3 linked regions of the Oryza sativa Japonica Group genome follow. The protein of the gene in region 2 interacts with the protein of the main gene of each other region in a pairwise test. Links are inferred from orthologs where the notes say so. Each region holds a gene or a part of one and is shown on either strand. Other genes may lie near its edges.

Region 1 (3,931 bases), on a different chromosome or scaffold from region 2:
CTGTAGCTAGCAATCCAGCCAACCAGCAACCTCCACAATAAATACACTAACACATATAACACCCAGCTCTTGTTGAACCTAACATAACATCAGGAAATTAATCAATCATGCAAGCAAATCTGAAACCAGACAGGGACTCTCCATCTGACATATGCATCAATCTTCATCTCCCAGCTCATTTTCCTTGCTGCTTCACACACACATGCTTGGACCCTACTACCCTCTCAATCTCCAGGCATTATGTTCTCCATTAGCCAAAACCCATCACACCATCCCAGAAGACAAGGAGTATAGTGCCCTTGCATTGGATGCTACTCTCTGAACTCCCTGTTTCTCTCTCTCTCTCTGATCAGAGTGAGGCTAAGCTAGATGGATGATAGCCTTGACCAGCATTAATCTTTTCCTTGGGTTTCATGTGCACCACATGTAGTCTGTCTGACTAGCTCTAGACAGGTGCATGTTACCATTGCTGGATGAGTTGTGTGTGTGTGGGTGTGTAGTTTCAGGCACACAGATTAGTTCAGCACTGACCATGGAAGGCTTGTCCCTTGATGACCAGCTTGATCTATCTGCCTCTCTGGCTAATAAAGCTTAATTACTTTGCTTGGTTTTGTCACTCTTGACAAGTGGATCAATGGTTAATTAAAGATTTAACTGGATCTTGGATTGTTAAAACTGTTAATCTCTCCCTCCGTACATGTTTAAACCTGCTCAAGGGTCAAGACAAGGAGCATCTGATGAAAGGACAAGATTTGGACACACCAAGCAGTTGTATATATTTATAATTTTCTTTTACTTCAGTCACTTGGGTGAATCATAGCTTGTCCCTTTTTTGCAAAGTGATGCTGTCTGAAGAGGAGAAAATTGTCTTGTGTTCTCTGCTTCTTCTTGGAAACAGAGCAATGACTGATGGCTTAAGTTTGTGCCTCCTAATTGAGATTCAGAAAAACCACCAAGAGTGTGAAGGATTAGTGGACTAAGTGAGCATATGGTGAAGTTGTTACTGATTAGTTAACCATAATGAACGATGCAGAAGTAATTTTCTGCCGTTCTTGCAAATTGATGATAATCTGGATGGAAATCAAAGCATTGAAGCCAGAGGGAGAAGTACACACAGCCCATGCATACATGCATTCTTCTTCCCTCCAGTTACAAAAGTAATCAACCATTCATGTAAAAGAAAAAAGATGTTTGCTTTGTACAAACACACATGGAGGCTCAACTCGAACCTCCATTCCTTCTGTGTTTTCTAACACCTAATTAAGAGGAAAAAAACAAATTAAAGCCACACATCCACACATGCATGCATGCTTTGCAATCTGATGACTCCAATTAAGCTTCACATATTTTTTTCACTGCATCTTTTTTTTTTTTGCTTTCCTTTTCTTTCTCTCTCTCTCTTTCTTGAAGGTTGCAATGAGGAGATGAGATGATTGCATGTCTTGGAGAACCCAAAAAGAACAAAAGAATTGCTCATGCACACATGATGATGATTTCTTCTTGTTGTTGTTCAGTTTTTAACCCCTTGTTGCTCCTAGGCCTCTTGCTTCAGACCCCTTCATGATCCTCAACCTCTTGCACGTACTAATGAACATCCTATTAAAAAGACAATCATAGAGTTAATTAGAAATAATTCAAGTAAATAATTGACTCATACTATAAGTCGTTCCAATTTTCTCTGATTCATATTATAAGCTGTTCTGATTTTATTTTAGGCAAATTTTAAGTTTAACCCAAATTTATAGAAAAACATAGTAGCATTTAAAAAGACAAACATATATACTATCAAAATATATTAATGTTAGATTTAATGATACTAATTTATGATACTAGAAGTTGTAAAAAAAATTTATTAAACTTAATTAAACTAAAAAAAATTGGAAGCAACTTACTCGAATGGGACGTCGCCGACGAGCATGAGGTCGCCGTCCTTGTCCTCGTAGGTGACGGCGAAGTCGGACGGGTTGACGGCGGCGTCGGCGGCGGCGCCGCCGGAGAAGCAGAGGAACATGGCCTCCAGTGCCTCGCGAAGCTCCCGGTAGCCCTTGTACACCTTGAGGTCTATCTTCCTCAGGTATGGAGCTCCGTCCATGCTCACCTTCACGAACAGCCCACCGGCGCCGGCGACATCCTCCTTCTGCTGCGTCTCCGCCGCCGCGGCAGCCGGCGGCGGCTTGCTCTTCGTCGTCGTCGTCGTCGGCTGGAGGCAGCTCTTCCTGTACGACCTCACCGGCGGCCATCCCACCACCTGCGCCCTGCAGCAGCAGCAGCAAACACGACACGTATCAGAGCTAGCTCTGCCATCCATGGCGGCGACGGCGACGAAGACGAAGAAGAACTTGATATTAATTACTTGGCGGCGGCGGCGGGCTTGATCTTGGCCTGATCAGGCTCGCCGGCGAGGGCGCGCTTGCTTCCGGCCCTGGGCGTCGACGGCGGCGGCGCCGCCTCCTCCTCCGTCCCCGGCAGCCCGAGCCTCAGCTCCGTCGCCTTCAGATTCTCCATGATCGATCTCTCCGGCGAACTCACCAACTAAACTCCGACGAGCTCCTCCTCCTCTTCTTCCTCTTCTTCTTCCAGCTAGGTAGCTCGAGACGATGAGCTGTGTGACCTCTGACTTTGTCTTCGTGGCTGCTAGCTGAGCAGCAATGGCGATGTTTTATAGACCTAGCTAACAAACCCTAGCTATGTGAAGAAGCACACACATGTGGATGTGAGCACACGAGTGCATGTACGTACATCCATACGTGCCACTGCCAGGCCACACGCTTGGGAGGGTGGTTGTGGGGGTAGCTAGGGTGCAGCCATGAGGGCCATGCCGGGTCAGCCCGCGACAGGGGCGGGCCGACCCCGTGGGCCCCCTGACGCCTCATGCAGATTCGTCGGGTAACGGGTTTCGGGTCCCCCACTACCCTATTGTTCATTGTAATACGGGGTCATCGGTTATTGATCCTCGTAACCCTTATCCGATAAGTGTTATTTATAATGTATGCATTGCTGGCACGAGTTTAAGAATCCAGCCTACTATGTACCTAGTTGCAGCATTGTTATTGGGTATGGATCGTTTTCTGTACCTGTGGATCCGGATAATTAGTTAGGGGGTCTGAAGGTTTTTTTTTTCTTGAGATAGTTAAACAAGGGTGCCAAAGCCATGATTAGGATGCTATCATTAGAGATCTTTGGGGGAGCATCTTTTGGCATATACAATGCTGTTTCCCCCTCTCCATATTGTCCAATAAGATATAGTGGCATGGAACAATGTAACATGGAGTGTATACATATGTTGCAGTATTCTATTGCATGCTTCTCATCATGTAGTGTATCCCCTTGTGAATCTCTCTCCACTACCTTTTGTTTCTTCTTTCTTTGGCCTTTCTTCTTTTGGTGTTGGCCATGGGGGCCTAGGGAAATTAAAACACCTAGTGGCTGCTTGTTTAGTGCAAACATTATTTCCCAATTTCTGAGTACTGTTAGTTGTTGTTAATTAACTAACCCTTTTTATTTGAAAGCTAGAAGCTGCAAACTAAAGTATGGTTTGTTTGCACCGGTGCTGTTTCTTTAACTAACCAAAGCTAAGCTAGCTGCGGCCTCTCATATTTTTCAGATGAGAGCAAGCAGCTGGTCCCTTGCTTAGGGGTAAATTAGTTAATTAAGCTTTAATTAATTAATTTGGCCTATTGGGTGTCATGAATGGTTGGTCCAGCTTGAAAGAAAACTGAAAAAATATTTGCTTGGCTTTACAAGTTTATTTCACTTGTCTAATTGACAATTTAGTAATTAACATATATCTGCACTAGCCAAAAACAGTTTAGGATCCATCAGAGTTCATGCAGAGAGTACTGGTTGATCTGTAGATCGATGTTCCTAATATTGACAAGACGATTGATCTGTCCCAACTTGTTACATTTTATATCCTTTTATTAACTATGAA
Region 2 (4,384 bases):
TTCTGATGGACTTGCCCTACAAACACTCTTTCTATTAACGGTGTACATGGGGAGGAAAAACAACAATGCATATATACTAATTTAAAAGTCCAACTTACCGGGGGTTGTAGAAAATAGTGAAACGGCTGTTTGTAGCAGCAGCATGAGCTGCTGCTGCAAGGAGACCTATGTGCATGCTATCGCTTGAAAGAACAGAGGAAGGCATCACAGTCTGTGGCCGACTGGCACGTCTTATTCCAAGTAAAAGCTGGTTTTTCTCGTTCCTGAGTCAGAGAATCAACAATGCGCCCTACTCATTAGCACAGGTAAAAAAGAAAATCACAAATGCAAGAGAGATGGAAAACAAACCATATGAAAAGCACAGAATCTCCAGCAACAAGTCTCTTAGCACTGACAAAAACGCTCCAGCCAGTGGTTAGCAGGTGTCGTTTGGGTTGGCCTGTCAAAAACAGCATATTACTACAAAAGATAGTAACATGGCATGTTCAAAAATATAAAACTACTAAACACAATTACTAACAACATCATTAGTGTTGAGCAGATCCCATTTCATAATCAATACAGCACAAGTACCTCAAGCATATGTACTATCAACATTTATGTTAAGACAACATTTTTTTAGTTATTGTGATCAATACAAAGTACATTCTGTGTCAGAAAACACACTAACAATAAGTTCAACCCTGCAGAAAGATGGGAATTCAAGGCATACAAAAAGAAGCCTACACCGAGAATTATACTGTCCAGTACAGTGATTGCTCATTGTGCAATTTTGTAAGACCTGCGAACTCTAGTAAATATTTCAGTACGCCTCTGAAAGTATCATGTATTCATATGTCAATTGTAACTTGATCCACTGCTAACTATCCTAACATATTAAAATTTGATATTTTTTATGTGCTTATCCAATTAATGATCTCGTAACTTCATTTCTATGCATAACCCTAATTCAATCAAGTATCTCTTGCTCCATTCACACCAACTGATTTTTAAGTGAAAAAGACGCTTACATCACATTGTGTGAGAATGGTTGAAGTTTTTCTCAGAACACTTGAAAACGTTTTTATTAGGAAGGTTTTAAGCCATGATTACAAAGGGTGAACTTATCGAATGGAAAAGGGGCAGAGATGATTATTAGGAAATTCCCTTTAAGAATATCATAATTCACCGTTATGAAGAATTCAAGACTGCCATAAGCTCTACAGATTTTTAAGAAGTTACCTCGAAAGATGTGCCTGAACTTCCACTCGATGTCATGAATATCCCGTGCAATTAGCTCCTGGGCTGGAGGCTGCTGTGTGAAATCCTACAAACCACACTATACCACCTGTTATTGGCAACAGCAAAACCCAACCACCCAAGAAGTACAAGAAAGGAGCACAGCCCCAAATTACACCACTCATCACACCAAAGGAGGGAAGACGCGCTCAGCAGCACGGCGGGGCACGGAGAACCCCCCGTGCGTGCTGGTGTCGCTCGCCGTCAATGTCTTGCAGAAGTAATTCGTCGGCTGCTTGCTCATTATCCCCATCTCCGCGGGAAGGTACGCATCGTTCTGCTCCTGCTGCACGAATGAACACATCCAAAAAAACCATCAAATTAACCGCTTAGAATATTTCACGCCTTCAAACCATCAAAACCTCAGCACTGCAAACATCATGCAAAAACCCCAGGCGCCTTACTGGGTTCAGTGGCTGGAGCGTCATCTGCGCGTACACCTCGTCAGTCTCCACATCCGCCTGCAAAAAAATTGCCAGCCCAAGTCAGCACCGACAGCCATGGAGATAAACCGGAGGAGTGGAGTGGAGGTGACGCCGCATCGATCTGAGAAATGCCCCGAGAAATTAGGGCAAGGAACCACGTACATGCATTGTGACATCGTGGAGCTGGCAGATCAGCTGCGCCGGCAGGTTGGGGTAGTTCGGGATGTGACCCTCCACCTCCTTGTTCGTCGACGCCGCCACCTTCACGTATGCAAAGCTCACCCGCGTCAGAAACAAGAGAAACCAGCAGAGATAGAGAGAGAGAAGCAAAGCAAGCGCGCCCACGAGACGGCTGAGGAGGTGAGCTCAGCCTCACCTGCTCGCTGTGGCCTTGCGGGAAGTAGACGACGCGCGTGCCGACGGTGGGGAGGCAGACGAGCGGGCCGGCGCAGGCGTGCCATAGCTCCGAGTTGAGGCACTTCTTCTCTGCAGCAGCAGCAGCAGCAGCAGATCGAGTCATCAACCAAACGAGAAGGGAAGTAAAGCGAACCGCGAAGCGAAGCGGCGGAAACAAACCTAGCCACCCACCTTCCTCGGGCGGCGCGGGGGGCGGCGGCGGCTGCGGCGGCCCGATGCTGGCCGCCGACGACGAGCTCATCTCCTCCTCCTCCGACCAAACCAGAGAAGCACAAACTCTTAATCTATCCCCTCACAAATCCACCCGAAAACCCCATCCCCCTCCTCAAATCGGCCGCATTCTGCACCACCACCACCAACACCAACACCAACAACAAGCATCAACAAACCACAGAGCAAAGCAAAGCAAAATCAATCCAACCCCCACCCCGCCGGCAAGGGACCAACCAACCTTTCTCTTCCGCTCACCCGAGCTCGGAGATCGCCACCATGGTGGGGAGAAAGGGTGGGGTTGGAGAGAGAGAGAGAGAGCGCAAGAGGGGTGGAAATGATTAGGTTTGTGGCATTTAAGCGAGAGAGAGAGAGAGAGAGAAAGAGAGGGGTTCGCGTGGTTCGAGTAGTGCGAGTGCGTGTGTGCGTGTGCGCGACGAGGGGGGGCGCAGCGCAGGGGGCCGTACAGTAGCGTGAGCTCCCGCACAGTGTCTGAAGAGTTTTTAAAAAGTTGGGAAGCGAGGGGGTTTTGAAAAAGCCGTATTTTATGGGCTCATGTAAGCGGCTGTCGGGTCGGTGTAACCACGGCCGTAAGAGCAAGTTTAATAGTATAATAGTATAGTTCACTACTAGCTTTAATTCATCTATAACCAATTTAATAGCTAATTCGTACAATAATTATTTAATATATTATTAATATATGGTCTCACATATTACATATATTGTGTCTTGAAGTTCGTGCTGCAGCTGGCTACATATCTATAGCCCGCGATCACTTATCTTATTAAAATATGTTTATATCTGGCTAATAGTCTGCTATTATATATGCTCTAATGGTGATGAGAGAGATCCATCCACCATCCCGGCATATGCAGCTCTCCATCGCACGCAGCGCAGACTGGTGTTCCCGTGGGGCACCACTGTTGTATCACTGGAGTACTACTACCGTTCCTTGTAACCTGTAGCCCGTGTTGGTTTGTGAACTCCTCCCCGTCTGTGTTACAGCTAGTACTGCTCCTCCTACGTGTTTGTCCAGTCCCGTCCTCCAGATTCTACCGGTATCATGAAGTATTGATTTCATTATTTGGGTTAACAATATGGTCTTATGGTGCTAATTTTGTTATATGTTCCCTTCGTCCTAAATAAAATCAACTTCTATAGTTTAAATTTTGTCCCATAAAAAATCAACTTCTACCATCCTACCTAACCTTGGCACATAAAACGAAAAGTTTTCTCCCTTAAAAACCCTTTACCTACCTTTCAACATTACTATTTTTTTCAATAATAAAAGGGTATTTTAGTCATTTTTACTCTTCACTAGTCTCACCTTAGCATGATAGGAATGGGTTTTATGTGGGACGGAGGGAGTACTCCTACTACATAGAATGTTAATCGCTCAACAGAATATATTCAACCAGGTGTAGGCAATATTTTATATACGTAGAGCTCCGGTGAACAGAGAGGGGAGCATTAGGTATCTTGGGACATACTTTCTCGATGCGCTGACTATAGTGCTTACAGTCTGTCTAATAAAAGCCATGGTAAAAGTAGGAACGGGTCCATCGAGTTAGTACATAAATATCTCGAGACATTACTTTCTATGTTAATAAGAGACATATATTATAGGTATAAAAAATTATGTACTTGATGCTTCTATTTTATGAGTTGGAAATCACAATTAGTCAAAAATACCATAATCATGACAAGACTAATCAAGTACTATCTTTTTTTTTCCACTTAAAGAGCTGCCTGCGGATTAGCGACTAGTAGTACTTAATTAACTGGGAGCCACTTGTGATGCTTATATAATCAGTCCTTGTATGCTTGTCCTCCTACGTACACATATGTTTGATTACAGCTAACCTTGCCTCCTTAACCCATGTCGTCGTCGTCATCATCATCATCATCATCCACACCCCAAACGGGCAACCTGTCCTAGAGCCTTTGATTCCACGAGTCCGGCCGGTTTTTACCATCCCCAACAACAGCAACGTAACGTCCCCTACGTGACAGCGCACAAACAGGGGGTCATTTTTTAAAAAAGGAGGAAAGGG
Region 3 (3,071 bases), about 960 kb from region 2:
TAATTTACTACAGACGCAATATTCATGTAATTAAGAGCAGCGGGCTACAGATTTGTAGCCAGTTGTAGCACAAACTCCAAAGCGCAGTGTGTGTATGATAGGTGGGACCAGATATTAATAGTGTAGTATGTAACTATTGTATAAATGAGCTATTAGATTAACTATAAATAAATTGGAACTAGTAGTTGACTATACTATTGAACTTGCTCTAACACAGACCTGGTAAGAGCACAATTCAACCAACCACAACGATAGAGGCAGCAGTAACTGTAACTCACATGTTTCTCGCACCAAATCAACCGCGCATAGTACTCCGTAGCTTAGCTCCAATCCAACGTCTCCCCGGCCGCGCGGCCGCCCGTTTTTCCAGCTACCACGACGGGTGCAAAGACCGGAGAAACGTACGTACGCGAGCTAGCTAGATCGGTCGCCGCGCGGGCGGCGCCGATCGAGATGCTGCATGCGCATGCGAGAAGCCCCCGCGCGACCTGCAGCGGCCAGCTGCGCGAGTCGCACGTATACGAAGGTCCATCGATCGGCACACGGTATCCGCGGTGGTCTCGTGCGGTGCGCGCGCCCCCCACCACGACCTCCGGGATTGCACGAGCAGACTCCCGTTTTTTCTTCGTTTCTCTCCGGACGCCGCTGCATGCGGACGCGCGCGCACGCCCCGGGCGGCTAACCCGATCGATCGATCCCCAGGGGGAAAGAAAATGGCAAGAAGGCTAGTTTTGTTTAATTCCTGTCTCGGGTTTGGTTGGTTGCTGGCACTGCACTACTGCTCGACCCCTTTACTCACTTGCAAGCAACCCGATCGACGTCCCACCGGTCGTCCCTGCTGGCAATTTACTTGTGTGTTTGTGTGTGTTATATATATATATATATATATATATATATATATATATATATATATAACACACACCGTGCACGTACTAGCACTGTAGCGCACCCATGACTGTCTTTCTTCAATTGAAATGAATTATTGTCGTCCCTAGTTAATTACTAGCAATTCTCAATATATAATTTTGAATTGAAACCAAGTTCATTACGACAAAAAGAAAAACTGAAAAGAATACTGGTATTGTATTAAATGCAGTACAGTGATCTCGTTAATTTGCAACCATACCTTAGCTCCACACTCCACGAAAACTATTCTAAACTTAACTTTCGAGGGATATCTCCTCGTTATTTACATGTCATCTAAATAATTATAAAAAAATTTAATAAGATAGATTAATATATGATAAATCACTAATATCAAATTTAACTTCTACAAGTTACAACTGAAAAAATAAATTTGAATGTAAGTATACGTTAGTTAGCCATAGTTTAATTTATTTTTCTAAGTTATACAAGCTAAATTTTAATCAATTGGATAACATACAAATAGTGAGCTCCACTCTAGCCTCTATGACTCCATCTTCTCCTACAAAACGGTCACACGCTTCACACGGCAAAGACACAATTAACCTTCCACAGAACGGTGCTCCAATCACTCCACTTCATCCTATTTAACCCACCCCCTCTCACTGTGCGTCTGTGCCTCTCTTCACACACACACGCACAACCAACCGCGCCGCCCACACGCCACGAGCGCCGCGCCGGCGAGCTCTTCGATCAATCGCGCCGGCCGCCATCGTCCCATGATAAGCGGCGCCGGCGGTGAGCAGCAGCAGCAGCAGGACACGAAGCGGCGGCTACCGGCGCCGACGACGTCCGAGCAGGAGAGGCGGCAGAAGCAGCACCGCGGGAAGATGCTGAGGCTGTCGGTGCAGCAGGGCGACGACGTGACCGCGGGCGTGGTGCCGCCGGTCACCGTCGTCCTGGACGGCCGCTCCATCTGCCACCGCGTCCACCTCAGCAAGCACACCGGCTACCGCAGCCTCGCCGCCGCGCTCCGCCGCATGTTCGTCGACGCGGACGACGACGTCGGCGCCGCCGACGAGGCAGCTGGCAGGAGCAGCTGCAGCGACGCCGACCGTGGCGGCCTCGACCTGTCCAATGCCGTTCCAGGGCACGTCGTCGCGTACGAGGACATCGAGAACGACCTCCTCCTCGCCGGCGACCTCAACTGGAAGTAATTAGCTTCACACTCATCTTGTTAATCTCACTTCGTGTTCATCTCGTGCTTTGTCTGAATTATTCTTGACGCATTTCTGTGTGCTGTTCATCTGATCTGATTCTCCTGCAATACATCCATGTCAGGGATTTCGTCCGTGTGGCGAGGAGGATTCGGATCATCCCGGCGAAGCCATCTAGCCGGATGAGGCCTCAATCTTAATCTGCTCGCTTGTAACTAAACCACATAAACCTCTAGCTACTACTAGATCCAGTATTCCTCCTTTCGAAATCGAAATAGTTTGTGTTTTTGTCATCAGTTTGTAACGTCGTTAAGAAAATTCAGTTAGTTATTATAATCCCGTTTTAATCGTGACCGGTAATGTGCACGTACGGTTGAATTGATCTGCAAATTAGTAAGGTTAATTAATCGATTCATTACAGGTTAGTTAATCAAATCGCTGCTCGTGTCACATCTTGTTCGCTGTACATGCTTAACTGTGCGTGTACGTGGAGTACGTCGTGTGCCGTGTCCGTCTCTCTCGTGAGTCATCGTCTGCGATTGACTTGTGTGTTCTTGCTTTGAAAGTGAGGGCTTGTGTTCACTGATTGCTTGTGTTTCTCAACTGCTCGATCGATCGATCAGTCTCTCGATAGCTTCTTGAACACCGACGCTTTGTCCGAACGTGCAGATATGCAGGTACATATATACAGAGATGCAGTTACAAGTAGCCGTCAGTTAACCAGCTCGATCAGTACTCGTCGATCTCGATGATATCGAATCTATCAGTGTAGCATCAGCTACGTACTATGCTATAAAAGTCGATTTCAATTAAGCGTCTGCTTCTGTTAATTTGGAGATTGGATCGATTTACACGCGTATGCACAAGAACAGTTTGGTCGATCGAGTTGACGATAGCAATGGATGAGACTGAGATTGGGATGGCCGCTGTGTCCAGAAGCATAACTGTCATGAACAGCGTTCTATTACTGCCTGCGTACGTAAGGAGTAC

Evidence for each region.
Region 1: the proteins of auxin response factor 12 (region 2) and auxin-responsive protein IAA31 interact in a two-hybrid assay, tested with the Arabidopsis thaliana proteins (2 studies listed by BioGRID). The link is inferred for Oryza sativa Japonica Group from reciprocal best matches to the Arabidopsis thaliana genes ARF8 and SHY2.
Region 3: the proteins of auxin response factor 12 (region 2) and auxin-responsive protein IAA33 interact in a two-hybrid assay, tested with the Arabidopsis thaliana proteins (2 studies listed by BioGRID). The link is inferred for Oryza sativa Japonica Group from reciprocal best matches to the Arabidopsis thaliana genes ARF8 and IAA33.

Annotation. Positions count from the first base shown.
Region 1 is NC_089046.1:26,036,883-26,040,813, reverse strand, and holds auxin-responsive protein IAA31, read right to left. Parts: upstream 2,634-3,931; 5' UTR 2,506-2,633; coding exon 2,354-2,505; intron 2,256-2,353; coding exon 1,893-2,255; intron 1,597-1,892; coding exon 1,518-1,596; 3' UTR 617-1,517; downstream 1-616. UniProt on the Arabidopsis thaliana protein: Aux/IAA proteins are short-lived transcriptional factors that function as repressors of early auxin response genes at low auxin concentrations.
Region 2 is NC_089038.1:34,802,930-34,807,313, forward strand, and holds the start of auxin response factor 12, read right to left. Parts: upstream 2,805-4,384; 5' UTR 2,572-2,804; intron 2,462-2,571; 5' UTR 2,362-2,461; coding exon 2,280-2,361; intron 2,190-2,279; coding exon 2,080-2,189; intron 1,965-2,079; coding exon 1,866-1,964; intron 1,740-1,865; coding exon 1,683-1,739; intron 1,565-1,682; coding exon 1,409-1,564; intron 1,307-1,408; coding exon 1,222-1,306; intron 910-1,221; exon of another isoform or gene 690-909; intron 440-689; coding exon 349-439; intron 264-348; coding exon 99-263; intron 17-98; coding exon 1-16. UniProt on the Arabidopsis thaliana protein: Auxin response factors (ARFs) are transcriptional factors that bind specifically to the DNA sequence 5'-TGTCTC-3' found in the auxin-responsive promoter elements (AuxREs). Seems to act as transcriptional activator.
Region 3 is NC_089038.1:33,839,386-33,842,456, forward strand, and holds auxin-responsive protein IAA33, read left to right. Parts: upstream 1-1,461; 5' UTR 1,462-1,643; coding exon 1,644-2,077; intron 2,078-2,205; coding exon 2,206-2,281; 3' UTR 2,282-2,434; downstream 2,435-3,071. UniProt on the Arabidopsis thaliana protein: Aux/IAA proteins are short-lived transcriptional factors that function as repressors of early auxin response genes at low auxin concentrations.